Linked DNA regions of Lepisosteus oculatus. The protein of the gene in region 3 interacts with the protein of the main gene of each other region in a pairwise test. Links are inferred from orthologs where the notes say so. Each region holds a gene or a part of one and is shown on either strand. Other genes may lie near its edges. The genes, in order: cysteine and histidine-rich domain-containing protein 1, ddx24, hsp90ab1 and cdc37l1.

The links.
Region 1: the proteins of hsp90ab1 (region 3) and cysteine and histidine-rich domain-containing protein 1 interact in binary tests that used the Homo sapiens proteins (3 or more experiments, as listed by UniProt). The link is inferred for Lepisosteus oculatus from reciprocal best matches to the Homo sapiens genes HSP90AB1 and CHORDC1.
Region 2: the proteins of hsp90ab1 (region 3) and ddx24 interact in a two-hybrid assay, tested with the Homo sapiens proteins (2 studies listed by BioGRID and IntAct, with this or other methods). The link is inferred for Lepisosteus oculatus from reciprocal best matches to the Homo sapiens genes HSP90AB1 and DDX24.
Region 4: the proteins of hsp90ab1 (region 3) and cdc37l1 interact in binary tests that used the Homo sapiens proteins (3 or more experiments, as listed by UniProt). The link is inferred for Lepisosteus oculatus from reciprocal best matches to the Homo sapiens genes HSP90AB1 and CDC37L1.

The regions. Positions count from the first base shown.
Region 1 is NC_090700.1:11,117,320-11,125,109, forward strand, and holds the start of cysteine and histidine-rich domain-containing protein 1, read right to left. Parts: upstream 3,001-7,790; 5' UTR 2,785-3,000; coding exon 2,718-2,784; intron 1,840-2,717; coding exon 1,790-1,839; intron 1,703-1,789; coding exon 1,646-1,702; intron 1,183-1,645; coding exon 1,034-1,182; intron 923-1,033; coding exon 819-922; intron 703-818; coding exon 644-702; intron 134-643; coding exon 63-133; intron 1-62. UniProt on the Homo sapiens protein: Regulates centrosome duplication, probably by inhibiting the kinase activity of ROCK2. Proposed to act as co-chaperone for HSP90. May play a role in the regulation of NOD1 via a HSP90 chaperone complex. In vitro, has intrinsic chaperone activity.
Region 2 is NC_090703.1:18,815,294-18,822,958, reverse strand, and holds the start of ddx24 (ATP-dependent RNA helicase DDX24), read right to left. Parts: upstream 3,020-7,665; 5' UTR 3,000-3,019; coding exon 2,953-2,999; intron 2,943-2,952; exon of another isoform or gene 2,865-2,942; coding exon of another isoform or gene 2,854-2,864; intron 2,303-2,853; coding exon 1,431-2,302; intron 715-1,430; coding exon 310-714; intron 1-309. Other genes in the region: ppp4r4 (serine/threonine-protein phosphatase 4 regulatory subunit 4), read left to right, coding at 4,764-4,853. UniProt on the Homo sapiens protein: ATP-dependent RNA helicase that plays a role in various aspects of RNA metabolism including pre-mRNA splicing and is thereby involved in different biological processes such as cell cycle regulation or innate immunity.
Region 3 is NC_090697.1:43,351,797-43,359,185, forward strand, and holds the start of hsp90ab1 (heat shock protein HSP 90-beta), read right to left. Parts: upstream 3,005-7,389; 5' UTR 2,895-3,004; intron 1,316-2,894; coding exon 1,172-1,315; intron 931-1,171; coding exon 724-930; intron 584-723; coding exon 424-583; intron 151-423; coding exon 17-150; intron 1-16. UniProt on the Homo sapiens protein: Molecular chaperone that promotes the maturation, structural maintenance and proper regulation of specific target proteins involved for instance in cell cycle control and signal transduction. Undergoes a functional cycle linked to its ATPase activity.
Region 4 is NC_090698.1:23,642,878-23,650,706, reverse strand, and holds the start of cdc37l1 (hsp90 co-chaperone Cdc37-like 1), read right to left. Parts: upstream 3,003-7,829; 5' UTR 2,828-3,002; coding exon 2,729-2,827; intron 1-2,728. Other genes in the region: gak (cyclin-G-associated kinase), read left to right, coding at 5,054-5,195. UniProt on the Homo sapiens protein: Co-chaperone that binds to numerous proteins and promotes their interaction with Hsp70 and Hsp90.

The DNA.
Region 1 (7,790 bases), on a different chromosome or scaffold from region 3:
TTCTGTATTTTCAAAAAGAAAAACTTGTGTTTAAATTTCATTGCCCAAAGGGGGTGTCTTACCCTTCATGAAAAATAGGTACTCCAGCATGATATAGACAGGTCTCCTCATTGCTTTCCGGCCCAGCAAAAGTCTATAAAGTTGAAACCCAACACAGGAAACTTAGATATTACTAAACTACGCCTAGTGACAAAATCCTAAAGGATTTCCCACTACCCAGAGAGAAAACAAATATGTAAAGAGATGACACATGAATCAGAAAGAATTGGTTAAGTTTCTGCTTTGAATTTCTTATGTTGTAATAAATGACAAGTGAACCAAAAATCCAACAGAAAAACAGAACTATATCCAATGCACAAACCAGTAACCAGTTTCCTAGGACAATTCCAGTTTTCTCTTCAAACCAATTCCTGTTGCCAATTTTTCCAATAGTGAATGTATAAAATGAATTCAAAATAGACTGAAAAATAAAAATTGTAACTGAAAAACTGGAACTGGTCTCAAAATTGATTGTTTTATATCTTTAGTTCCTCTATAGACATTATTTTTTAAATTTCTCTATTTTACAACACTTGCAAATATCAAGAAAAGTACCTTGTTACTATGTTTTCAAAGTTATATTTTCTTCTATGTGCGCATTTACCTTTGAACAGCCTCCATTTGTACACGATGTACCAATTTTCACTTCTTCTCCCTCGTTTTCTGAAAACAAAAATGTTTATTTAGTTATACAGTAAATGGCAAAGTAACAAGTGTTAATACACAAATATTTTCACAATGTTAAGAATTATTACGTTAAAAAACGTGCTACCATTTACCTGACTTTTCTTGATCATTGACTTCTGAGAGTTTTAATTTTTCTAAAGCCTGTTTCAGTGAAGGTGAAACTTTATATTGCAGCCTTACAAATGGCTCATCGGCACTGTAAAGGAAAAAATAAGAAATATTTTGTACATGACTATGTGACAACTTATAAGCAGAAAACCAAAAAGTATCAAAAAGTACTTAGATTTTAGGATGTAGAAACCTTTACCTTGGTCTTTGGAAACTTTCTACCGGTTTTGGGCCCTGAATCACATATTCATTGAATTTTGATTTTAGATCCTCTGTTGAATCTTTTTTATCTTCTGTCTTAACAGGCTCAGGAGGCTTCTCCTTGTTATGAGGACCCTTTGTACAACCCTTGAAAAAAATTATAAAGGGACACATTCACCTTCACAATTAATTTTTCTTGAAAGACTTGAAATAATTTTATTTATGAGCAAATTGTATTTTCAAGAAATTCGTGGAGCTATACAACACCACAGATAATACACAACAGAAGAAAAAGGTATAGCAAATTGACTTACTGAAAATGAAAGCAATAAATATTTCACTCAAAATCTGTCTTTAAGACAGTTTTGAATGCGTTACAAAACTGTAACACATCTCTTACTGATGTGGGTTACATCACTCTTAAATCTTCCATTTCACTTTATACTAACTGCACAGATTTTGGATTGAACGTCTCAGACTATTTGGTTTAATTTTTATAATCAGAATCAAAATGATAAAATAACTGTATTTTAATACTTGATATGGCACTGTCCAACACTTTTCAATTAAGTTCTGTCACAAAGTACTGAATCAAAGACAATATACTTACTGGGATGCTCAAAAAGTCTGAAAAGTCAGTTGTCCGTCTTTTACAGCAAGACCACCCCTAGACAAAAAGAAGATGCTACAGTAAAAAAATCATGCTTCAAGCTTTAAAAAGCTTAGTGCAGTCTGAAAACTTTTTTACACAAACCTTCAAGGCATCGTGAAACACGGGTACTCCAGGATGATACGTACAACCATCTAGAACAGAAATAATAAACAGTAGATAATCGGAAAACACTAGAGTACATTGATTAACATCACATGGACTTCAGTACTGCAGATGCAAAATATTACCCTCATATTTTTACACTGCTTCAGTCAGGATACTAACGCACCTTTCAGGTATATTTCAACCTCATTCATTCGTTATTTCGACAATGCTACAATCAGACTTAGGTTGGTCTTTACTTGAAACATCAGGAATTACTAACCGGTCCTGAATCTGGTCGACTGACATATTAACCCTAGAAGTCCCCAGCTATATAATATAATCAGCTGGGTAATGAAAATTAAAAAGATTTGCAATGCATTCGATCCCTCCCACGCACACACATATTGCAAGAGTACAAATAAATCAGATCACATTACCCAATTTTAGATTCAACCTTGACCACACGTGGGATCAGGGCATATGATCATAATGCATTGTTAAACGTTTATATTACACGAGTTTCTTATAACTTTCCTTTACAAATAACCAAGGCACATCGAAAACCGGCTTATTTTGTGCCAGTAAATGAAACTAGCTGCTGAAAATCGGGATGACCTTTCCAGAAAATTCTTCCGGTTTACCATTTTCTAACAGTATGTTTGATATACTTAACTTAATTTAAAAGACCAATAGATGTTTAATTCAAAATAATTAAATATCTCGTTAAATAACGCTACATACGTATAAAACACATTTTTAAAATAACACATGCTTGCTGCAGATGGAAACTGATGTCACCAGTAACTGTTACTAAGTAACCTAAAAGGCGAAGTCAAAATATAAAACTAATATAATAATAATAATAGTAATTAAAACATTTGCATCCCTATCGTATTCTTGTATATTTTAACACACGTGAACTTACCATCAGGATTATCCTCGGGGTTAAAGCGCTGTCCGCAACCTTTATTATAACACAGCACAGACATCATAAAAAAACTGCGGAATTTAACAAATCCCTATTAAAAGCAGCAACGTTGTTATAAAAAGATAAAAAATACGACACCACAACGACCCGAACTTTACGTATCAGATCACAAAAACAATCACACAACGGCCCAAGCAGAGGGGTCTGTGCTTAGAAGACACAAACAGTAGCCGCACCGCACTCCATTCGTTTGCACAGATACTTCCGGAAATTACCGGGGCCTTTCGGGAAACTTCGCGAAGTTTCTGGTATCGGAAATCTTCGAGTATCTTCGAGTACCTTCGGACTGACGTAAAGCCGCCACAGAGTCCGCTCTTCTTTTCACAAACGCGGAAACAGTGGCGTCTAGTGGAATTTATGAATATTGCATGGATCTCGTTAACATCAGAAAATGAATTCCACAGAATACAAACGGTATGTTATGAATGTCACGCCTTTATGCCTGCCTGCATTTTTTTTTAACAATTGAATTAATTGAGCTAGGGCAGTGTATGAGCTGCAAAGAAATAAGCACAGGGCAATTCCACATTAAACGTTTAAAATAAAGAAGAAAAAACAAAAATAAATTGGCTGAGGACTGTACAGTACTTCAGGTGTTTGAGAGAATGAGAGAGAGAGCAGGAATATGAAGGAAAGGAGATCAAATTGAAGATAATATGAGCATGGGTAGTGTAAAAGTTAAAAGAGATGGAATTCTTGGGTAATAATTCCAATCAGGATTTCTATTTCTTCAGTCATGGTTCTCTTCATCATTGTGGCTTTTTTGGTCATTGTTGCAAGGTCAGCATAACCATATCAGCCTGCTTAATAAGTATCATGTTATTTTCTAAATCTGCATTTTACAATATGGTAAATTCAGTTAAAATTAAATTAATAATTTAAGTTACAGTGTTACATAACCATGACTCCATACCCTAATCCAGACCTAACCTGATCCCTCACATGAAGCAGTCACAGAATTCACAGTTGTGAGTTGTACCTTCCGATAGAAGGTTAACATATTAAAACGTTTATCCCTAGAAGGGAAATCAGGAGAAAATGCATAGAAACAACACTGCTTCACTCCATCAACACACATGTACAAACATAAGGGTACAGTCACATGGATGAGGATATTTTTCACTTAAATTTCTCTATAAACGTAAATAGCTTATGTCGACTCCAGTACTTTAATTATGAGCGTTAGTGTGTGGGTAGCACTAAGGAATATTGCTAGGATTTTTTTTAAAAAGGGGCATTTGAAAGTTGTCGAGTACTGAAAAAGAAACAAGGCAAAACCATAGATTTATTTTCACCAAAATACAACTATCTTTTTTCATAAATATCTGATACATATCCGTTTTTATTTTATTTCCCGACCATTCACTGGATTCTGCTCCGGCTTTTAACTTTCGTCTCGCCTCTCATGGATGGATTACTCTGCTCTGGACTTTAATTCACCCTGGATCTCCCTACGGACTCCCTTTGGACTTGTTCGCTTGGACCACGCCTCCCCCGAGCACCAGTGCACCGTTGACACGCCCTCTTGTTCGTCTACTGGCCCCGTTCCTTGTCTTCTCTCCCCGCGTTTTTTCCACTCCCTTTCTGGATTCTATTGTCTGCATATGGTCCTGAAAAAAACGTTTCGTGACAAAAACAGGGTCCATCACTCTCTAATGTGTTTTTATGATTATGATCAAACATACAGTATGTCTTGTTAGATTGCAGCCCATGCTATCTGTACCATAGCTGTGCGTCAGTGCAACCTGATTCCCAGTTCTTTAATTGATACTAAATAGGATCAACACATTAAATGAACTGATGTCTGCAGTAAATACTACAAAGGAATGAAAAGGAAGTGTCATAGAGCAGATTGGGAAGCCTTGATCTAGGTTTTCCACAGAATGAACAAGAAAACATAACTCTTCATAAACTCTTCAGGGCAAAACAATTTTTGTTTCTTGAAACAAATAACAACAACAACCTTCAGTTATCCTGCAAATCAGCAATAGCTTGAACTCTATTTAGTAATTCCCTATTGGTTTAATTAAAATTCTCTATGCAGTCTTCATAACCGAAAACTAATAAGATAAAACTAGACAACACCTGTTAGCAGCTGTTGTTTTTCTTTTTCTTTTTTACTGTAGCCATCTGAAGATACTTATGAAAATGCCTACAATTCTGATATGGTGAAAGGAGAAAATTTAAACAAACATACAACAACACAAGCAAATATACATAGGTAGGTACAGTAATTCCAAGTTCAAAACAAGAGTTCATTCAGGTTTTCAAGGCATTCAGTGAACAGAGACCATAAGACTCCCTTAGCCAGATGAAACACCAGTGTATTTCCTACCGCCAGCAAGCACCAATTTTACTGTACAGCTGGATAGAGTAAGGTAGTCAGGGTAAAGTACCTAACTCAAAGTATGACAACTGCGCCCGTACCTGAGATTTGAATCTACAACTAGTTCAGAGACCTATTTCTCTACTCTATCCCCTAGGTGGGTTGTACTTTTGCTAAATTCTTCCTAATGCATAGTGGTGCAAATTGTAATCAAATGGATGAGAAGATTACTCCAAAAGTCATAAATGCACTTTAACTAACATATAGTAATGAGAAATGGAAATGCAAAGCCATGTTTTATTTAATTCTTATCAGGTATAATCCTCGTTCTTGTTACTATAATCAGATTTGAAACAAAAAAATACATTCTTTGATGATGTCAGTTTATTATTTTGTTTTAAATAATAAAGACTATCAGAATGAAAAGAACGAGATGCCAGTTTCTGGTATCACTCCTGTTAGGCTACTTTCAAGGACTATCAAGGTCATTTTCATGTTGAAAGACACACCACCCATCAATTGGCTTGTACAATGCAATAGCAGTGTTGTCACAACACCTTCAAATACAGTATGTTGTCTTCTAGCAGTACAATCAAGGGTGCATTCCTGAGTGGATAAAACACATCAGTCTCTTTTCTGTCACCTCAGATTCTGCCTGACTCACAAAAGCTGATTATTTCCATGTTTAACATCAAGACATTTCCTTACCCAGATATGTACAGAGTTTTTAAGCAGAGAGTTTGCTATGGTCAAAGCATTCTTTCTGCACTCTCTTATTCTATTACCACTGCACTCTAAAGACATGACATTTCTCAACCCTAGTGTTTTTGTGTTGTTTTTTTTTCTGGATAAGCTTCTTAATTGTCAAAGCAGTGTATCTCAGTCAATGTGTCACACAGACAGTCCACCTTTAATAGTGTTGATCATGAATTAACCACTTTTGCAAATCCTGCAATCCTGCATTTTCACGTAGTAAATGTCTATCACAAGAAAAGAATACAACACAGCATTACATTCAATCACATCACACCTTATTTATCACGCACAGCAGTTTTCAAATGCCACCAGTGGTTCTTTGATGTTAAATTGCACTTTTTTTGCATTTTGGTTGTGCATCAGAATATGCAATATATGGTGAGCACAGTAAATCTTAACTCATCTGTAAATTTAATTCAACCTGACGAAGATAAAATATGCAGATTTCAAATTAAATTCAGTGGCTCCATGGCCTTGAAGAAAAGCTCAGATAGATATGCAGTAGATACGGGAATCCTACTGTTTATATTCAGTGTTAAAACAGACATAAGAACAGACTCTGTTTAAGTTAGCCTTTCCTTACATTTATTCAGTCGTAAATGCAGGAGCTAATCCTTTTACTAGAATGAAAGCCATCACCCACTGCAGTAGCATGATAAACATGAACAAGAACTGCAAATATAGACGCGGGCCAAAATGGAAATAATGACAAGAAAAGATACATGAAAGCAAAGCACAATCTGATTGAAGGCTGGTCCAGTAGCAAGGTTGGCTGATTTTCTTTTCTGATCTGCTTTGAAGAGCTTTTTTTCTTTACCAGGGGCTGTGTTCAGGGTTTCCTTTTTAAAAGTGCTTTTTCCAAAAACATAATTAGGTCTGTACTGTCTTTGTGTGATCCATTTAAAGCATAGAGTTGGATATTTACTCTGATGAGTTTTCAATTTAACAATTGTAATTCATAAACAGACATCTGCAGATACCGAACATTTTGGAATCTTTATATTCTACTCACCATGCTAACCTTCAAATCTCAAAGTAGGTATAAAACCCTCAGGGAATGCTGTGTTCATACCCCAGCTTGTTAAGTCAGTCTAAAATCCCTCTGATGGCCTAGATTCCAAGGGTTCTGCAATATGAAGGAAGCCGTCAGTGGGAAAGTGTGACTAATGTTTCTCTACTAAATCGTGTACAATCATATTTCCTCGTGGTCTGTTTGCCCTTCTAAACAGCAATGCTATTTCCTAGAGCTATACTGTAAATATTATTTTTCTCATACCTGGTTTGATATGCTGCAGTTGGTCAAAGCTGGTCAAAAACTGCATTTTTTTAAATATTATTTTTTACTTGGTAGCTACTGTCACTCACTGTTGAAGGTAAAGATTGAAAGCTGTTTTTAACCAATTTTATGCTGAACACCATTGTATAACACATGAATATACTGAAATTAGAAGGGCAAAACAATTTACAGGTATTCAGGTCTTCTATAGAAGAATAGAAGTATTCCAATTTACAAGATTCAGAGAGTTTCATGCTCTTTAAACATGGGTGGCTTTCTTATTTGAAGAGGAAAGGTTCTTTTGTAGAGACAACAAGATGTTTTATAGGCTCTTGCTGGCTGGTTTCTGTTCCAGTTGAGCTCTTTGCTCCTAAAAAGTTCCTTAATTGGAAGCACTGCCAGTTTATTTTTTCTACTCCAAAGTTGGAGATTCAAAGTTGGACATGAAGAGGGATCAATTTCCCTACGGGATCAATAAAGTCTTATCTATCTATCTCACTTATTACTTATTGAAGTATAGAAGGTAACATATATTACTTACAGTATGTATTAAATAATATTACTGATTACTGAATATTAACGATTATATTATGTTAATTATTAAAAGCAGCAGTTTAAAAGGCAATGAACTTTCCGGATGATGAGGAACTGT
Region 2 (7,665 bases), on a different chromosome or scaffold from region 3:
AGAGATGACTGGATGAGATTATCGGATTAGCTGCTAGCACATCAATGGGCTAGAAGGACATCCTGAATGTAACTTTTTATGTTCTTAACATACAGATATTCATTGAAAATAAGAATCTATTTACAAGACTGTAAATAACTGTGTCCTGTGCCCAGTCCTGAAGAACGACAGGGTTTTTTTTTATCCTGGCGGCTTGCCAAGAAAAAAACCGTTCAGCCCTTTTACCGTATGTACTGATAAAACAGAGTGAGAGCACTTTGTGTAGTGTGATTTTTTTCCGAGGACTGGTGCCTGAATCTGACTACTGACCTGTAAACATTGCCACAGCATCTAGATGGTGCTTCACCTGGACTGCAAGTTCTCTAGTTGGGGTGAGGACGAGCCCCAGCAACGGGTTCTGTCGCTTGTCTTCCATTTTGGACTTATTAGTCTCTTGATTGGAACTGAAGTCAAACTCCATATCCTCTATGACTTTAACACAACCCAGCTTCTGCGAGTGACTGTCCCCCTCCCAGTCCTCTTCTGAATCCCCATCTGAATCCCCGTCCGCTGGTGTCTCCTGGGGTTCTGGCCCAGACAGACAGACTGCCCCCACTTCTCTCCCATGTTCTTTCGGGTTGTCAATCATCTCCTCGCTCTGCCCGTCCTTTGCTTTCCTCCACTCCAAAATGGCATTGATCATGGGGATGCCAAAAGCCAGAGTCTTTCCGCTTCCTGGTTGAAGATAGGCATGGGATATGCATAATGAACCGATGGTGTTATTCACACGGGGAAAAATCAAACGTATAATCACAAACAGGAAATATTTACCTGTGTCCGTTTTGAAATGTTACTTGCTTTCACAATGCCAGAAGTAATTTGCACATCAACCATTTTAATAGAGGTTTGGCTGGGATTATTTCAAGGGATATTTGAATTGATTTCTTATAATGTATTCAGTTACCAAGATAAGAAAACAAATGTAATTAAATTTTGTATGTATTTTAAACAATAAATAAACATACAGAATGATAAATAATAAAATAACAGCCACCCTAACATAACAAATAGTGAAGTACTGTATATTCTTTTATAACCAGTACCTGCTGGTGTCTTACTGTTGCCAAGGAAACTAATGGTAGGGTAGCTCTACTAGGACTGCAATCTGCTGATTTATGCAGCTCCTCATTTATACCTTCTGTTATTCTTTGTAAAAAAGGATCTGTACAGGGTGCTGGTGTCTATTCCGCTTTGACCCACAAAACCATGTTCAAAAGTAAACTCATCTCTTGCTAGACAACAGGACTCTCAGCCCAGTGACATTTGTAGAGCACATCAGAATCCAGACCAGACTGATTCAAATTTGATCCCACAGCATTTTCAGTTATACTGTCACTAGATATTGGTAGTGATGTTGTTCTGTTCAAAGAACAGCATCGGTTTTCACTCACCTGTTTCAGCTGCGCCTAATATGTCCATATGGTCTCTGATGGCAGGAGGAAGAGCCAAAGCCTGAATAGGAGTAGGTGCCTTAAATCCCAGGGAGCTTAGTGCCTGGAGGACTGGTTCTGGAATGAACAGATCTTTCCAAGCAGACGTATCCAACATCTGACTTCCTGACCCTGAAAGGGCAGCACTGGTCCAATTTTTCACCTTCTGTTTAGGCTTTGGAAGTTCAGCTACCTGAGGCTCTGCTACTGTTTTATTCTTTTTTCTTTTCTTTTTTGGCTGTGCCTGGGTTTGTATACCATCTTCCTGAAGAGAGGACATATCTTCCACTTGTGGCACTCCTTGAACGTCTTCTGCATCTTCACCATCTGCCTCATTTCCAATTTCAGTATCACCTACAGGCTCCATCTTCTGTGTCTGACTCTTCTTCTTCTTCTTCTTTTTCTTTTTCAGCTGTGTCTGGGTTTGTATACTGTCTTCCTGAAGAGTGGAATCATCATCCACTGGTGGAACAGCTACGGCAGTTTCGCCATCTGCTTCAATTCCAGTTCCAGGCTCCACCTTCTGAGTCTGACTCTTCTTCTTCTTTTTCTTTTTAGCAGGTTGCTTTGGCTGTCCATCACTGACCTCAGGATTACAGTCTTCCTCGACTGCCAACTTTCTTTTCTTGCCTTTCTTCTCCTCGGTGAATGTAGAGTCAACAAGCTTGTAGTCTCTGAGTTCCTCAAAGCATATCAGCCCTCCCATGTTCTCTTCTGAGAAGAGATCAGGGTCGATCTCTACTGGACTCCACTTTCCTCTCACCTGGATACCCCGTTTGGATTTGAACATGGTCTTAAAAACATTTGTCTTTGATCTTTTAGTCTTCATTTTTCTGAAACACAAAGACAAGGTCAAATTAACCTTTCTGAAGACTGGAAACCTTCTTCTTTGTTGTGAACCTAAACTTAATATTGCTTCCAATTAAAATTATGTATTATTAAATGTCCCGTATAAAATACAATCTCTCTAATTAACACTATGTAGTAAAGATAATATAAATGGTTAATATAGGTTTTTAGCTGTATAAAAACAAGGGCTATTTAATTCGTTTTCTTCACCATAAACACGACTTACAAAAAAACCCAATAATCATCAAAGAAAGAACGTTTGTAATATTCACTTTCTCTGCATCATTACGAACTGATAGTAGCAGCTTTAATTCTAAGAATTAGGCTACATAAGTTTTATCATGCAATGTATAAATACCCAATTTACACTGAAAGAAAAAGAACAGTAAATGTTTCTAAATACTGTTTCTGTATTACCGCAACGCTACATTTCATCTAGCGTAGAATATAGAGCTTTGAAATTGCAACGCATTATGATGGTAAACGTTTAAGATGTATGCCACCAGCAGGCATTTTAACAAAAATACCCACGCACCCACTGTACATAAAATGAATTTATCACTTTTTTGATAGCTTTCTCGTTTGAAGACAATATGGATCATCTACATTCCACATGAAAACAAGAAACACTCACACTTTGCACGAGGGCGCAGCCATGTCAATGTAGGAGGGCACAAGCATTGTGAACCAATCACATGCGAGTAGGTTTGAATAACTTTATTAACAGGTCACAAAATGCAAGCACGCTTTAACAAATTGGTTTGAATGTTAGAGGTTGTTCTTGCAATCCGGCTTTACTATTATTGTTTCATTGGTAATTGTCGGATGCTGAATTGCAGGATCATTTTGTATTTTGCATACAACTCTATTTGTATTTCCGCTGATTTAAATGTGAAAATTCAAAATCAAGTAACGCGTTTTCCTTCACATATAATCACACACAGACTGCATCGACAATTGTTTCATTTTGTCGTAGTTAAGAAATAAAACGTATTACTGTTTTGTGAGTAATTCAAATTAACTGCTGTAAAGATGTGTTGAAAACATTGAGGCCAAATGTATGTGATGGCGATACTTAGCTAGTGAAACTAAACAGCATCGTCTGACTGTACGAAGGTTACATTTTGTTAAACAAAGCTCAGATAACCTATTACATAGCATGTACCCTGTCATTTTTTTTGGCATCAGAAACAGTATTGCCTGTTAAGTTGACATATATATATGTAATACGGATCCGATTCATTTTATATTTGGTTATTTGACGTTTAACTACAGTAAGCAAACTTTCAATACTGAATATTAATATGTAAAAATAAATTATTGTCTACTATCTACTAATATGGAAATATTTTAACTATGCCAAACATGCAGTATCAGTGATTCGTTTTAAAAAAAGAAACACAATGGCCATACCAACACAGTTGTTTAAAGTTAATATCTTAGGTCACTGTAAGGTGTGATTATTAACCAAAGACACATTCGTAGATAAACCTTGTCTGTAAATAAGGGGTATAATAAAGAACTATAGCATGGGGCTTTGTCAGGTCTCCGACGCGGCTGTGTTTTTTTAACGCACAGTGCGGTAAATTTGTCAGCGCTGAGCCACGGCTTGCTGTAGTGCCGCGTCTCCATGGAGACCGGTTTAGGTGCTGCACTGTGCAGCTCTCTCTGTGTGGATAGTGAATGTCAGTCCAGGGATCCCTTTCCAGGCTGTCGGTAGCAGTGCAAGTGTAGCAAAACGTATTTTCGCCTTATTGGGTTTGATTAAGACTTTAAAACTGAAGACCTTAACTATTTAATGCCAAGTGAACTGTACAATAGTTGCCTATGCAGTATGCAGAAATCGTCAGACTGAATAATTTTACATGAAGAGCCGGCCTCTATAGAAGGAATAGAGTAGAGGACTTACTGTATGTAACGCTGAAAAGGAGAGACTGAAAAACAGTCAAGGAAGAGGCTAAAAGTTATAACTGGGTGGACACTGAGTTTTCGCGTGAACTGACATCGTTTAATCCTTCCTTTGGTTCTTTAACGAAAAGAGCAGACGCTGCCTATAGGCTTTTCAAAGAACTTCAACCTGAAAGCATTTGTCGAGGAAAATATCCTGTGCTGTGGCGAGACCAGGACATTTTAAAGAACTGTAGATTACACTAAATGGTCGTCGATAGAGTATATGATAACATGTTTTCAAAGTTATTCAAATCAGTCAAAATAATCATGTGAAGAAACACTCCGGATACCTATGTTTTAATGTTATAGACTGACACGACTGTAATCCTCTAGGCTGTAAGGCAACATACAGTTTTGCCGAAAGAGGCTTTGTCGTGGGTGGAATTCAGCTTTCCCCAAATCAAAGAAACCTATTGCTCAGTCACGGCAGAGACAAGATCATGATAGAGCATTGATACCAGCAGAGAGAAAATTTAGACTTAATACTTCAACAAAATGACGTTGAACCAGTCCAGTTTGTTCGGGCAAATAGATGACCTACAAGACCTCGCAATCATTGAAAGACCTGTACGCAGGAGTCTGAAGGTACTTTAATATTTATATAACACATTAAAAACGGTATTTGTGAATCTTGTAAATCTGTCTGTATCTGTTCGTATGTCAGAAATGTAATCTGTATCTTTCCATTATTTTTTGTGGAATGTGTAACTTCATTTTCACAAATAAGATGCTTAATGTGAATTTTAGGTATTTCAGATATGATATTTATATAATTGTCTGAAAAGACACTTTCATTAATTCTAAAAAAGCTGTCCAGCTGCTAAAATTTGACCATTTAAAACGCAGATTGGTAGACATACGGTTAATAGTGTTACATAAATGAATAATGTATATATCTGGGGATAAATTACACGTTCACAACGATTTTAAAATTTCATTGAGCAGCTGAAAAGATATGGGCAACAGCTGATGAAATGTATCTCAAATTATGGTATTCAAGCATAATTTATGCTGCATGTTGTATTCTACACTTTGTATATAATATTCTTCAATGTTAACAGTACGTGCTCTTTGATGCATTCTGTAACATACAAGTATTTACGACAACATTTAGAATTCTTGATCTGTCTGAAATTAATCTGTGTGTATCTTGTTGGTTAAAACATTAAATTCACTGCTCTTACTGCAAATGAGCCTCTAAAACTAGCTTACTATGTAATGGGGGTTCCCCATTTTTAGTGCGTGACGCAGTTTTCTGTCAGAATTCACTCTGGAGGAATCCTTTCGCCGGGTCTCCGGGTTTGTGAAAATAATGTTGTTCGCTGGACACTTAATTAATACTGAAAGACCTCAGCCGAAACCTTACTATGCATTTAACCCACTGAACAATTAAATGGTTTACGATTTGTAAACTTGCGGATGCTACATTTTATTAAACGTGATATATAATCGTTTTAATCATTCCTAATGTTTACCCTTGCTTGCGTGATTGATTAATTTTTTGAGGGAATTATTCTTCAGTTTGATTACCTTATAATGTACTTTTACAGCATGTTGAGACATACTGTGATGGAAAGCAAGTGATATTAATGTTATTGTGCATTGATGTGGTTTTCAGGTGTTTAGTCTAGTGCGGTGTTTTCAGGTTCGGTGGCATCATACGATATTCCTGGGGGAATGGGTATTTTCAAAGAGTTATTTTTCTTGTCTGGGGTTCTATGACAGCTTTTACAATGAAAAAGGCATTCAAGTAATAGGCTACTCCTACTCCTCCATCCACACACTCCACCTCCTCTCCACCTACATTCAAGAATGAAACATATTTCATTGTGCAGCACTCCATATTGTGTGAAGTAACGTTCGTTTGAGTCATTTTTAAATGAAAGAGGGCAATTCAGTTCTGCTGTTGTTCTCTGAATGTAGTATTTTTTGTAGATACATGATGTCGACCAAGTGTAGTGCACTATTAGTGGCTTGGATGGCCTGGTACAATACAGTGCCAGTAGTCACTGGCAAAGCTTACTCACCTATTTGACTGGGTTATGCCTGAGCTTGAGTTGTTTAGGTCAGTGGTTACCTGGTTAACAAAAATTATATAATAAAGCAATTTGGAATTGTGCATGTGTATGTTCCAGAGTGCAGCATATGAGTTGATTTTGATTTTTTGCTTTTATGCATAGTCCGAAACCTCCCTCATTACAGGGCTTGACTTTTTACTTAGTAATCTAGTCAACACATTCTGTTTGGATTTTTTATTCACACTAAATATATAAGTACAGTGCTAGTGTTAAGATCATTCTTATGGTGTCCCATTTTCCGATTTGTTTTTAAACCTAGTATTTTATTCAGAACCCAAGTGCTCAAACTGGAGACTTCCAGAGGAAGTAATTTGCAACAAATGTGAGCAAAACTCACATTTGTTGCAAATTAGAAGAGAAGAAAAATAGAGCATAGTGATTGAATAAGTATTCAGACCTTTGAATTCAATTTTTGATGCAAGCAATTTTGGCAGCAATCGTAGACAAGTGTTATTAGTTGAGTACCACTGTGACAGTACACACTGTCTTGGTGTAAATGTTGCTCATTTGTCTAGGCAGTTTTACACTTTGTTATGTCAAGTTGCTTGGGGAATGTATATGAACAGCAGTTTTCTAGTCTTTCCACAGAATCTGAAATGGAACTTTGACTGGGCCACTCCAGGGCCACTCTGCACTTTTGGTCATTGTTCAGATGAAAGTTGAATTTTAGTTAAGTTTAGGTCTGAAGCAGATATTCTTATCAGATTTGCTAGTGTTTTACTCCAACTCTATTCTCTCAAGCCTTGAGAATCTTCCCAGTTCCTGCTGAGGAGAATCAGAACTATAGGCTTGACTGTTGGCATGGCATTGACTTACTGTACTGTAGCAATACTTTCTATTCGGTTTGCAACACTTTGCATTTAGACCAAAGTTTTCCAAACCTGTCTTGTCTGACCACAAAACCATTCGCCACATATTTGCAGTGCCACTCAGGAGCTTAGTTGCAAACTCCATGTGATTTGAGATGTTTTTTTCAATACCAACAAGCACCCTTTGTGAAGTGAACAAAATATTGTTTCTACCATTTGAGCCAATGAACAGTGATTGCTGCTTGGTCTGAAGAGCCAGTCTAGTCTAGGCAGGGTTTGGGTGCCTTCCATTTCTTAATGATTGATTTCCTCATGCTCATAGAGATATTAATGGTCTGAAATGTTTCACTCTCTTTTCCTGATATGTGCATTTCTACCACTTTATAAATGAGTTGTTTAGAAAATTCTTTGGTCTTCATAGTTGAGTCTTGGCTTGAAATTCACTGCTACACTGGGGGACGTCAGAGAGTTACTCGTACTTAATCTGAAATCTGAGCCAATATTATGGCA
Region 3 (7,389 bases):
TTTTCAAAATACTTACAAACAGAGTGATCGGATACCCAATGAACTGTGAATGCTTCTTCACAACTTCCTTGACTCTCTTTTCCTCAATGTACTCAGTCTGGTCCTCCTTCAGGTGCAAGATGACTTTGGTGCCTCTACCAATGGGCTCACCTTCAAAAAAAGTTTTATTAGTTAAAGGTTCTTGTTTTCTACAGCTTCAAGAGTGTTGTCCTGCTTTTTAGTAAGTCTTTGGCAAAAAGTAAAGTGTTCTGGAGAAAAGGGTTTCACCTGGCAACAGGTACCACTCCAAATATGAATGATTTTGAAAATATAATGCTCTGCCACCAGTTTTATGGCCTGACCACTTTGCAGGATGAAAATCCAAAAGCTGTTGAATTTAAGGTAATAAAAAAGGTTAATTTGTCATCTAACAAAGCCACATACCATGGTCAACCTTGACCGTGAAGGATCCTCCAGCAGATGACTCCCAGGCATACTGTTCATCATCATTGTGCTTTGTGATGACCACAACTTTCTCAGCTACTAGATAAGCAGAGTAGAACCCCACACCAAACTGCCCAATCATGGAGATGTCAGCACCAGCCTGGAAGAGCAAACATTGAGATAAGAGTTTAACCAACAAAAGCCATTTACTATTAAACTGTTTGTGCAATGGCACCGCTAAGACGTTACATTATTAATGTAAATTATTTTAATGCATTTCTCAGCTTTGTGATGCAATACCTGCAAAGCCTCCATAAAAGCCTTTGTGCCAGATTTGGCAATGGTTCCCAAGTTATTGATGAGGTCTGCCTTTGTCATCCCAATTCCAGTGTCAATAAGAGTCAGGGTACGCTCATTCTTGTTTGGAATGACATCAATCTTGAGGTCCTTGCCACTTTCCAGTTTGGAGGGATCGGTCAAGCTTTCATATCTGATTTTGTCCAGTGCCTAAAAATCCATAACATTTACATTTTAATAAAGCAGACAGGATTGAGAGGTGTTTAGGTAATCAAGAGACAAATAAAAATATTTTTACAATACTTTTAAAATGTAAGCAAGAGGTATATTACAAAACAGCCACAGCTGTTTTTAAATAAAGCAACATTGAACCAAGCTCGATGGAGGTAGGGTTCATTAAATAGAAGTTCAATCACATGTGACCAAAAATCCTGAGACACAGGGGACTCACATCAGAAGCATTGGAGATCAGCTCCCTGAGGAAGATCTCTTTGTTGGAATAGAAAGTGTTGATGATCAGAGACATCAGCTGAGCAATCTCCGCCTGGAAGGCGAAAGTCTCAGCCTCCTCTTCTTGGCGCATTTCTTCAGGCATCTAAAAAATAAAAAGTAAAAAAAAGAATGATGAGAAACACTCACTTATTTTTACACAAATACATACAGGGGTTAAGGAACAGCGGAGACTAAATAAAGGGCCCTGTTCAGCCACCCTGGAGTGCAGCACCCAACTGGGTGACATACAGCGGCCTGCAGCCCCACTACACAGCAGATTAAGTACAGAACATTTTCCAGTGTGGAATTCAGACAGGATATCAGGGTTAACAAGGCACCTTGGGACTACAGGGTGTGCCAACATCACATAAGACACTGATGGGAAAGGGATCACCAAGAAAGGGTATTTGTGCAGCCCTGAGCAGTAACTGACAACCGCTTTGACTTGCCTATCCCTGGATTACATACAGCACGTCTTGATTTTGTACTCTGGAAGATTAAGGAAAATTCTATTGTTTAACAATAAATCAACTACATTTTTCAAATGTAAATTTTGACCAGCAGCAAACTACTCCAACAACTGAGCTTCACACAATAAGCCATTAAATAAAGCAAACCTAAATCCAAAGATAACTGCTTATAAATGAGCTATTGTGAATACATGAGACACCTTAACTGAACCTCAACCAAAAACAGACTCGCGAGTCTCGGGGTAAAATGAAACCTTTCTTTGAATTTCGAGCTGCGTTATCGAGTACAGCAAGAGAAAAATGAACAGTGTGGCGCAATGCAGCATTCTCCAGCCTTCACCTGCAGTGTGCCAGCTTTTGGCAGCACAGTGGCACCCAATCATAGCTGGGAATGCAAGTTAAACATACCTCCTAAGCAACAAAGGAGCGAAGATCGTGTTAAAAATAGCACGATCTTCAACGGTAATTTAAAGAAAGGGAAGGGACAGACTCCATTTTATTTTCCGCACAATCATTCAATACATTCGAGACGGAAGTGACGCCGGAGCCGAACAATATGGCGGCACCTGCTATGCAGTTTAACGTAGAACACGTGGGTTTAACCTTCTAACAAGAATAAATAATAACTATGCTGCAAGTGAAAGAATAGCACATCTTTTTCACTTCGGCTTATCTAAAAAAAAACATAACGCTATCCAGTCGATTACACATTTTTTACTGCTTATGTCCACGGATAAATCGTTCACATACAGGAAGACAAAGCGTGATACAGCATGTTATTCACGTCAGAGCTAGCGATGTACTTATTTCATGGAACAAACCGGGAACGTCTGTAAGTTTTAGATCTCTTACAGCAAACTAATGTCAATCGGAGGTGCTGGAAATGTATCTATAGAATTAAATAGTTAATCATCACGATTCCATCAGAAACCATTGTACTAAACAACGTTTTAGACGCATATCTACCTTTGAGAGAAATTTACTCTGATCACTAATAAGCTGGAACATTCCCAGCTTCGGGGAACTAGATATTTCTTTTCTCCCATGTTTTATGTTTCTTCTCATTCAATCCAGCGATCAGGAGGCAGCCTTGTACCTTGGACCACTCTTTCGAAACCTCATCTCTCATCAATGTACGTTTTTTTTTTACAAAATTATTATGCTCACCTATAAATACCACATATAACACTCATAAAGGGGAAAGAAACGTACCTTTAACGTTTTAGCTGTTGTTCTTTTCTTGAAATAAATGCAACCACACAGGCTGATCCCCAAGCACTCTGACGCTGAGAAACTGAAAGGGATTTCCTTTTAAAAGACAGTATCTTTATACCCTCTGCGCTTGCCGATGTATCCATCCGCGTAAACAAGCGCTATTTCCCTGTTCTTGCAGCCTCCCAATGAGAAACTGGAATGGGTATTTATTCAGGTCTATGTATTGTGTAGTGCGTAATACGTAATTAGAAATAAGTAAATACAGTATTAGCCTTTAAATCATTGTATAGGATTTTCTAAAACCAATCATAAACACAGCACCACTGTGCTTAAGGCTGCAGTCTCTTGTCTTAAGGTCATTGCTCTTGCTTGGCTCTTTGTCAGTCTATTATGGGTTTTATTGCACCAGTTCAAAACTTTCCCCATCTTGTCGGGTACTGATGATTTATAGAGACTATGACAACCTGCCAACACACCAACCCTCGAAGATTTGCACGGGACAGCCTTGTAGGGTAAAAAAGATGATAACGTGATACTCAAATTTGAGGGCATTGTACATGAAACAAAAAAACGTGAGATGTGGTACTTTTCCATGTTATATATATATAAAATCGCTTTTTCGTCGCAAAGAAAATATTTTTGTTGTATTATTACATATATCCAAAAAATCTCAATAACACAATTGTGTTGGAAATGTATGTGAAAATATACATAAATGTAGTGTGGCTTTGAAATGAGGTTGGGGATCTAGCACTAGTATCTGGCAGTAGCTGCTACTTCCAAATCAAAATTATCATGAATATCAAAACGTCAACATTGCTATATGATACTGTACATTAATCTGCCTGTTGGCAAAACACTTACCCCGAGCCTATTTTCAGAACTGTCTGGTGATACTAATGATGACTGTTAATAAGATGACAGATGAAACAACAACAGTAAATTGTCCTATAGCTTTTAAGAGGCAAATTAAAAAAAATATCACAACTTTTTTATTGTATCTTTAAGGCAGGAAAAGTAGAAGTGTATAAACCATGTACACATCACGGTGAACATGGAGAAATATTGCAAGGCACCATTAGAAACCTTGGAAACATACTAAATGTGTAAAGTGTGGTAAATTCTTTAAAAAATAGAAAGGATAATGGATAATACCGTGCGGAATACGGTACAAATTTACTGTATTTCATTTTTCAGAAGGGACGTCACGAGAAGGGGTGTAAAGTACAGTACATACGGTGTATATCTGAATGCTATGGTATGAATCTTAATACATAATATACCAATATCGCTTTTACGTTAACGTTTGGTTATATTTTACTTGTGATATTTTGTTAATATCCTCTTCCCATCTTTAACTCCAAAATGATTTTTTTCTATAATACCAAATTCTTCATGGCTGAATTGATATGCGCTACATTTCTACTTCTCACGTGTGATTCATTATGGAACTCCTTACTCCAACGGAAGGATACAGACATACCCGCGAATGCGTGCTTAGGTTTTTCCAGAAATTTCTGCATAAACCCCGCCCGGGTTCCTGACGTCACAGGATGTTAAATGCGGTGTTCTTGCCGGGCTTCGTTTTCGGTTGTCGTGCAACAAGCTGCTTCCATAGCAACTGCGCAACTGCCTCCGTAGTTAAATATATTTTCTTGAGCTGCATTAGAATTTATGTGTACAATCCAGAACATTCTTAATTTTGAATTTACGATTAAATATTGTGTCGATATGTGGTTATAAAATTTAGGAGAGTATGAAAAAAGAAAAATATTTAAAGTGCTGTTTTAATTTAAAAAAAAAACGATAATAATAATATTACCACCCCTTTTTATTATACAATAACATAACTTATTATACAATAAATAATTTATTGTCACAATGGATGTTTAGTTTTAACTATCTAGTTCTGGTTTGCTTTTAATACTATTTTTTATTGGGTTGTTGCTACCCATACAATAAGGACTGGTTAAAAGGTACTCACAGATCCTTCAGTCTGATGTTACGTATCGTAAATACGGTATGTCAGAGTTTTTTAACACTGAAATACGGTCAACATTTTGAGAATATTAAATATGGTAGGTATGTTCAACGTATTTTTATATTTGATATAATTTTAAGGCTAATTTCATGTACAACACCGGCACATTTATCAGCACATTAATACCATCATCATAATAATAATATGATGCTTCCAAAAAAAAAAGAGAACACAATGTTTCGGCCGTGTCCACGGCCGAAACGTTGTGTTCTCTTCTTTTTTTCAGCGTGGAATAAACCTATTACTTGTTCCTTTGCAGCCTACGCATGCTGATGCAGCTACCCACCTGAACTATAATAATAATAATAATAGCTTACACTTATATAGCACTTTTCTGGACACTCCACTCAAAGCACTTTACAGGTAATGGGGATCCCCTCCACCACCAACAGCAGCCATAGTGCGCCAGAACGCTCACCACACATCAGCTATCAGTGGGGAGGAGAGCAGAGTAATGGAGCCAATTCATAGAGGGGAATTATTAGGAGGCCATGATTGGTAAGGATTACACCCTTACTCTTTTTGAGAAGCGCCCATCCAAAGGATGGTGCCTGTTTACAGTGTAGTGTCCCCATCACTATAATGGGGCATTAGGACCCACACAGACCACAGGGTGAGCACCCCCTCCTGGCCCCACTAACACCTCTTCCAGCAGCAACCTTGGTTTTTCCCAGGAGGTCTCACATCCAGGTACTGACCAGGCTCACACCTGCTTAGCTTCAGTGGGTTGCCAGTTGTGAGTTGCAGGGTGATATGGCTGCTGGCCGTAATAGCTACTAGATTTCAGTTCACCTGAGAATTGTGAATGAAAACAAGATTTTCTTTCAGTATCCATAGTATTTCATACATATTAGTTTAGATAGGCTGACCTTTTAGAAAAAATAAAAGCTACTATTGTCCTTCAGACATAGAATGTCCTTTGAATTTTGCTCTAGTATACAGTACCTCCTCTTCAGTACTTCATTCAGGTCACATAGTTTTTGTCCATGTTTGTCAACAACATAATAAATGCTTTATAACATTACCTCTTTTCCCCTGTAGCGTGTGTTGACGTCTATTTGAATATCTACTGAAAACTAGCATTTTGTTTTTCGTTTACAATACTGTTCTGTGCTTCATTGATTTTTCTTATTTTCATGATATACTTGTCTTTTGGAGCCAATTTCCCGATCTACAGCTCTACCTTTTATGTCTCTCTTTTGCTTTTAGTTAAAACAAAAGTTATTTCTTCGCCTTGGTCTCAATGTCATTTCTCTCAAGTGTCCTGCTTAGCATCTCTTGATTTAATCTGTGCAGCTCTTTAGAGTCCTTTGTTAATTTTCCACGTCACATCATGCCAGATTGGCATCACCTTGGGATGAATATTGCTTCCCTCAAAGACCTGGATATTTTATTAATTTATTATCCTGTGATGCATTACCTTCTGGTTTGGGTGCAGTGATATGTCTGATGCAGTTGAGAATAAAAAAGAAGGACCTGTAGCTTTTGTGTCCTGAATGTGGAATTCAAATGAGAAAAACTAAAGCCTCCTTTTCAATCTCAGCATTATTTAATTTTTGGAGTATAGAAATTTCACAAATACAAGTATAGCCACAAATTCACCACACATCATTAGGCTAACAGATGGATTGGTACCAACACTAGTTGCACACTAAACAGTTCTGGGCTATCTTTCTCTCTGCTCACAGATTAGGTACTGAAAGTCAATGTTCTTGCTAAACATTGAGGAACTACTGTAAAAGCCAACAATATTACAAAAGAGAGTAAGAAACACTGTTTTATTACAAGTGCTGGATCTGACTTTTGCAACCTTGCTGTCAGCAGCTCTCACCAGAGCAGGATAAGGCTTATTGCAGAAGTGCAAGTGACATCAAGATAAACTTGTGGATAGAAAAATTGATTTAGATCGTAACACTCATCTATCAGGTTACCAGCTTCACATTTGGTGTTGCAGACTGGACCACAATATTGAGAAGTTACAACTGTACACACTCATCTTCATTGTCTGTCACGGGGTTCAACTGGTTTCTGAGCCATTATTTGCCGTCTGCTGTTGGACTTTGTTTTTTCCTTGGGTCTTAATTCTGCATTGGAGATTCTAAGGACATACTGTCTTAAGAGAGCAGCAGATTTCAGTGCAGTATTCTGTGATTGCCCTTTCCATGCTTTTACATGCACTATTGAGCTCACTCGCTCAGTTTTTCTGTTGACTACTTTGTTTTTCTTATCTTCCCAGCGTGATCTCAGTTTCACCACATTCACGATTCTATTACACAACAAGATTCTTTATCCAATATGAAGCCACTAGACATAACTACAGTATTTTATACTTTTTAAGCATAGGTTGATTGAGGTCAGATAACTACTCCATAAATTTCATAGCAAAACCTTTGGTTTATTTAATCTGTTGATTCCACCTACTTACAAAGTGTGTATTCCAAGTGTAGTGGG
Region 4 (7,829 bases), on a different chromosome or scaffold from region 3:
TCGGCAGCTGCACTTCAACCTGCCCCATCGCAAACATCTCCGTCGGTGAACCAGGAAAACACGCCGAAAATCGTCTTCTGAGGCCAATTTCTTCCTTCTCAACCAGAATACTAAATTGGAAACACTGAAGCATAAGTGTTAGGTTGTGGACAAACAGCTCCCACTCCTCGAGCCAGGTTCCACCAATTCCCATCCGGAGATCTTGAGAGCAGAATCCCTCAAACCAGCTAAAATGCCCCCCAAGCGATTTGCTCCCAGCCTGAATTAACCCCGCTCCCACCCCGTCTTCAGGTGGTACTGCCCATCCTGCAGATCAGAATTACATCTCAATTCCACTGCAACTACCTTGCCATCTTTAGAGATTTCTTACTTTGGCACTTTTGGTACGTCAATTTCATAACTCATCTTGTTGTAGCGACAGATGCTATCAGGGCGAGGGACCAAATGCACCCAGACATGTCTCAGTCACTAAAAGATTGCAAAAGATGAACAAGGGTTAAGTACAACTTCCTGGTTGTTATTTAATGCATTTATTTCTGATCAACAGATAGCATTGTATGAACTGAAACCAGAAACGAATATATTTCGAGTAGTAAAAGAGGTCAACTTCAAATTATGTGCGCTAGCTGTTAGGATACAGTGACACGAACAGTCACTTTTTTCTGAATGTTAAGACACGTTTTCTATAATAGGTCTTGAAGGCAAAGCCAACAGTCATCACACATGACTTTGTCAAACCAGAAATCTAGACAATTAGAAAATAATATTTCTGTTATTACAACATTACCCTGCTAATACCCATAACAGTCCGCATTTGATATATTTTTAAAGCTCAGTTTCAATCAGGTCTAATTTGAAGGACCAGTTTCTTGCACAAAAGCCCCTTCTATGTCCCAATATAAAAACTACAATTTTAAGATCCACTAGGGATTTTCCCTTATTAAAATGCACAGGCTGCATTTTATTCATTTGAAAAGTAAAAACTCTTATATAGAGTGTACTTTTAATATGGGCCACCGTTTCGTAAGGCCTGTAACTTCGCCAGAGCTCTTGTGCATGCTATCCAGTCATAGGACGTCAGCTTGTCAGAGGCAAGTAGCTTTGTCTCATTAGATATCATTCAGTTACAGTGAACTGGCTGCATTCTAAATCCAAGATTTTAAGCTAAATATATGAACATTAAAAATACATTACTCTAGTTTTACTGTTTTAGTTTTAGAAAAATGGAAAACAGGTTTTGAATATTGGCTAATGTATTTGGCTGCCTTTTGATTTAATGATTATTCTTGACTGAGTCTAAAACACTCCAGTGATTATTGTATAATCACTAAAATTACCCCATAGCTTGAAGAGTGGATTTTGCATGTGATGAAACCTGCTGAAAGTCACACCTGGTGAAAATCAACGAAATAACAAATTAACACTGCAAGGAAACATCATGTTCCACTTATTGAGAAAACAATGCTGTCAACCCATCAGTATGTTGGAGGCTGGAGTAAGTCAGCACACTGTCCCTCATTGTCAGGGTTATTCACAGCCAGCAAATTCTAACTTGGCAAGATGTTAAAGCCAAACACAGCCCGTCAATGATCTGGCCACAGTCAGGGAGACTATGAGTCATGGCATCTCGCTTGATTGTCTGACATTGCCAGAATCGCTGGGTGAGGTCCAAGTGCGACAGTCTGTGGAGAAGTGTCTAGTCCCTTACAGAACTCCAGTTGCAGCGATTGAGGGCAACCTCACTGCACGGCACTGCACTGCACTGATGAACTCCTGCGAGTTGCCTTGCTGTACTTCCTGCAGGCTCGTCCTGACATGACAACATTCCTGGAGAACAAAACATGTCCTGCTACAGCCCATTTAAAAATGTTTTGTTTCTTGTGAGCTGGAAATGTGACAATTATGCCATCGATGCCCTACTCATCAGTTTTAAGCTTCACTGAATGTTTGCAGGATGAGCTGGAAAAACATTGGACATCTGGGGCTCAGAGACCAATGAACAGGCACAGTGTTATCTAAGCTCTAAAATGGGAATGGGACTGAAGCCCACATGTCAGCATCTTGCAACCTGATGCAAAGCATGTATCAAGATACATGTACACTGCTTATGTTGCTTCCAACAGTAACCACCCACACTACTAACCTGTGACTTTCACAGGAGACACCCTGTTAATCACCCTGCTCATGACAAATGCTAATCAGGTTAATTAGCTTGCCTTGCCTAAATAAAGGCTGCTCAATAAAATGTCAGAACACCAAGCAAAAAAGACTGACATGTTTCTGAAAACAAGTTGATTTTGAGGCTCAGGGTATATTTCGTTATCCATGGAAGAGTGTTAGTTTCTGAAAACAATGCGGTTGAATTTGTACTTGAAGTATAAAGTGAGTTGCGGGTTATTGTTTAGAATGTAATAATAACATGCACTGCAAAGCACGTCGTTTGATATAGCTATAGTATGTTAGCAGGAATGCAGCATTTTGTACAACTTTTACATTACTAACACGCATTTACAATAATAACAAATTGGAAGACCGTAATATACAATTTTCAGAGATGGGTTGTAATTCGGAAGAATAAAGTAAGTAAACAACGAGATTTTTACAAATTCACTACTGATCTTGTCGAACACATTTTAAAGTGTGTGCATTTACTGCATGAGAACAGCGTGCATCTGTTGACTTTCAGCAACCGTTACAAGACTCATCTCTGTCTACATTCAGCAAGTACCTGCTGGCACAGTGGCGAACTCAGGAGGCTGTTCGAACCGACACTTTCACCATCTTTCTCCCTAGAAAATCCGGGAGATCCACTGCCGAACCACTCCATCTTCGCTATTGTCTCTCCCTTCCTTCGAATCTCTGCGGCTGCAGTAGGATAAGAACAGAGAGAATGATCCTGTCCGAATCAGGGCATTGGAAACTCAGAATCCCTTTTCAGAAAATGACATAAACGTCCACCGCCATGTTGCTGACTCACACAGCCACGTGACTCTGGCGTGCGCGGGCACATGACTGCTGTGTTGTGGTCATATGACATCTACGGGCAAAGAAAAGTTAGCTGTTATGATTGTATAGAAACCAAGGCGAATTTTGGAAAGAGCTTTATGATTTTATGCGACACGAAGACTACGATTAGCAAAACTGTACTGAAGACAAATTACGAGGCGGTCAAGTCTCCATTTTTGTAATAGTTTTTTCTTTGTTCCTCCTGCTGCGAAATATGCTCCACTGTAAATTTAATATACAGTAGTACATTTCTAGGCTGGTGGATTGTTTGTTTTCATACTATTCTTGCTTTTATACCAAGGCTGGGGAATATTAATTTCGGTTTCTGACATATAGAATTAGAACCCCATTTAACGTTCCGTTCTTATTTGACAATCAGATAGCTGCTAAGTTTAATTGAAGACACGTTCCTCTTTGAAAATATCGTGTAACACATCAATTGTATGGAATTGTGTGTTAACATCCGTAGCTATTTTGGAAATAACACTTTGAGGATTTCTGTATAAAATTCCTATGTGATTAGGAAACCTTTTGATTCAGGAGTCCATGCTTCGTAAAGTCGTCTTCATTGACATAGCTTAACACAAACTCTTCAGGTGTTAGCGGTTTTTTTTTCTGCAGAACATAAACGCCCACATAGCCCGTACAAATTGTAGGGAATGTTTTCCACATCTACTATGACTTAGTCGATTTTAACTTAACTATTTGAACCGTGATGCTCTCATAAAAAAGAGTCGCTAATTGCGAATTTGTATTTTTCTAGTAATTATGTAAATAAAGGTCGTTGCAAAAAAAAAAACCCTGATCCTTGAATAACAGTGTGCTGAATCATACCCTTGTTCGCGTTTACCATAATCAGTGGAGGCACAGAAGAGACCAACAACCTCTGGCCAATTACAGATAAGAAAAACGCTGCAGGAGAGGGGAATAGCCTATTCAGATTACAACGGTGAACGACAGACAACACAGTAATGCTTGAAGCTCAACCGTAAAAAAATACTATAAGAATAAATATATTTTTTTATTACACGCTGGCCTTATATTCATGTATAAGGTGTTTAACATAAATTAAACGTTACCTTATTTTTCTGAAGGCTTTAAACAGCAATATTAGCCATGCTCTGTATTTATATATATGTATTATGTGTTCTTATCCAATGTTATTTTGACTTTCATTTACATTTTATTCCTTTTTTAGTCAATTAATTCATAAGTGAATGTAATACTAACATGGGAACAAGTTAACCTAATAGTTTGACACGTTATCAAACAGAAAGGGTGAATTAACATTCCTGAAGATTTAAAACGTGTAGAATATTTAATCTTTTCTTGTTCTTGCATGTCTGTAAAAAACGGTAAACCAATTCAAAACTTTTACTAAAATAAAACTTAACACATGGATAGTGTTACATCATGTTTATATCACATAACGTCTTTAAAAATAGTAACCACGTCTCTTGAAAAAGCGTTTTTTTCACATAAAATAATAAAAGCTATAGACAACATCGTAGAGACCTACAGTTGAAAAGTCAAACTTTAGTTTCTCTTGACAAAAGCAAGGCGGTGTTATCTAGACTAACCCTGGTAGAATTGCGCTGTAACCTGTTTCGTTTCATTCATCTCGTCCTTAATTGTTTTAAACATGTTGAGGAAAATTCAAAGTGTTTCTGTGAAATAAGTACAACGTTTTTCACTCATATAGAATAAATGAATAGACATGTGTTAGTAATAAATCCCGTATCATTTTACAGACTTCATTGTTTTTCTTTAATTTATTCAGCATGTGTAAGCAGAACTGGTCGAGGTTGGGCTGTAGGTGACGTAACTGTTGTCGTCAGAGCTCCCGGAAGTGCAGTGATGATGGTGGCTGTTCTCTGGTTGCAGGAACAGTGTGTTGATGCGGTGAGAAGATCGAATGAGTAGTTCTATAATTTGAATAAAAGATTCCAGATTTGGATTTTTAGGGACGAGGTATCCTATAGATCTGAATTTTTGCTGAAGATACAATAGCACTGTCTCCCTGAGGGGGCCGGACGCTGGACGAATAATGTCGCTCTTCCAGTCGGCACTTGATTTCCTGGCGGGGCCCGGCTCTGCTGGGGCTGCCAGCCGGGACCAGAATGACTTCGTAGGGCAAACCGTGGAGCTCGGCGAGATGAAGCTGAGGATCAAAAGAGTAATTGCCGAAGGTGAGATGCCCGATTCTGTAAATTTGTCGCATGCGATGCCCAGCATTAAATAAGTTAATTTATTTGAAGGTAAAGGCTACGTGGGCAGGTAGCACTGTCAGTGCTCCACTTTACCTGTGTGCAGGTCCGGCCTGGCTGGCTGTAAGCCGGTACGTGCAGCTGCACCTGCCGGCAGGGTTTACGAAAGAAAATGTTGTTGTGAGACAAAGCTGGCTGATGTGTGACGGAAGATGAGGAAAAGAAAGCTCTCATGCCTTTTGGATCATTTTATTGTGCTGATGAGTTCATGTGTTGATAGATCACCACTTGGCAAAACGTATGAATGAGTATCGCACTTGGAACAGTTTAGGAACATTCCTTTCAAAAGCAGAGAGGAACAGCGCGATGCACTTTCTCAAGGGAAAGTACAGATATCAAACAATCAGAACACAGGACATGAGCGGTACATGTTTCTCAAATTACTTTAAATGGCTAAAACGAGCTCCCGTTAAAGAACAGGCTAATTTTACTACACCGTGCCACGAAAAGTTTAAAAATATCACTTTTGGCTGCTTCTTGCTTTCTTTTATTTGTGCTACTTTTAGATTGAAGATAGAACGCCCAGGACATGGTCATTCATCATGTTGTGCAACCGTTCAGCACTGTAGAGTACGTGCTTATGACATGTCCCATTTTGGATTTTTTTCCCCAAGTACCCTACATGAAGGATTGCTTTTATAAAGAAAATCCCTTGTAGATATTTAAGTGTAAAGTAGTTTTGATATGGTGCAGATTTATAAGCCCTTTTAAGACTACAGTTGAACTTTCAGTTGCTGTTTTGGAAGACCTACTTGTGGAAATCTGTAGACTTTTATTCGGGATACTTTCAAAAATGTTTAATTAGGTAGTATAGCTCAGCAAAAAAAGCCATTCCCAAAAAGAGATATCACAATAGTGCAGTCTTCTTGGCTTGGTTAGCTTTTAAAATCCTTTGAAAAATAGCACTGTGGTTTCCACATATTCATCTTGCATTACAATTCACTTTTCTTAACTTTTTGTTAGATTGTGTTAAGTATGCTAATGTCGTGGGCTTAAACTGTTATTTGGTAGACAGATTATTCTGGGTTTTCACTACAGGAGCAATGCAACAGCCTAACCACAAGAGGATCATCCATAATGCAGTGTCCAGTGTAACAAGACATTTCTAAAGGCAATCAGATGAAACTACACATGTAGGAGATAACGAGCATTGTCAAATATGTGATTGCTATTCAACCTATCTTGGGTTTTCGTGGATACTAATGTAGTGTATTGATCCTAAATATCCTCAGGCTGCTAATACACCTACTGTAGAAGAATCTTTGTGAAATAACTTCCACACAAAATACTTTAGACAATGCTTTGTTCCATACTTGTCTGATGTAGGAAGAAAAAAATAAGGAATAAGTGACATATTCCAATGTATAAAATATCTGGTAGCATTAGTCCATCAACAGCAAAAAGATAGATTATAACTCTAAACCTATACCAATCACATTCCCCTGAAACGTCCTGAGTGATATTTAACTCTGTACCTGTTGCATATATAACATAAGAACATAAAAGATTTACAAATGAGAGGAGTCCATGTGGCCCATCTCACCCATTAAGTAGTTAGTAACTAAGCCATCCAAGAATCTCATCAAGCTGCTTCTTGAAAGAAACCAAAGTATTACCTTCAACATCATGGATTGGTAGCTTGTTCCATATTCCCAATTTTGCTTAAAGAAGAGTCTCCTGTTGTCAGGTTTAAAATGCTCTTCCAGCGACTTGGCATCTGTGTCCTTTTATTCCCGTTTTAACTGTTTATTCTAATAAGGTCCACTGAGTTTACTTTGTCAGTGTTTTTGGAGTATTTTAAATACTTGGAACAGATCGTCCTGTTGTCTTCTCTGTTCAAAAATTTTCAGTTTCAGTTCCTCCAGCCAGATAGTCAAAAGAAATCCAAGGACTTATTATCATCAATTGGAAACAGTACAGTTGGTACAAGACATCATTATCCAGATCGTGGATCATAGCTGACAGAAACCAAAGCGCATACTGTACAGGACAGGGAAGTGAAAGTAAATACAGGGATGAATCACTAGATCTAAAGGTGCAGTTTGTACAGGAGAGACTTGAGGTGGAGCTGGAATCTGATGGAGCTGTTGTTGTATTGGTGGTGAAATATATGTTCTTCTTCAACATATACGTATTAGTGAATTTAAGCAGAAGTCTATGAAATGTCAGTTGTAACCAAATACAAACTTATGTGCTGCTTCAGTTGATAAATTAAAGCAATAGTTATCTTGATAATAGTTTCTACTTTAGTTCTCCATAGATACATCCACAACCAGCAGAGACAAGATTAACAAAAACTAATCTTTGTGTTGCATTTTACAGAAATAATAAGCTAATAAATGCTATTTAAAAAAGGCATTGGAATGGCCCTACTCAAAATGACTGGGTTTAGTTTCTGAGTGAAGTTGTGACTTGACATTCACCTCCTCTTCTTATTCACTACTTAAGTGGTTCTAAACTATCATTCACTGTCAACATTGTTACAAGAAGCAAGCAGAAAGGCACTGCACTGGCATTTCAGTCAGAGCAGCTTTCTTTTGAGATGTATTTGCTACA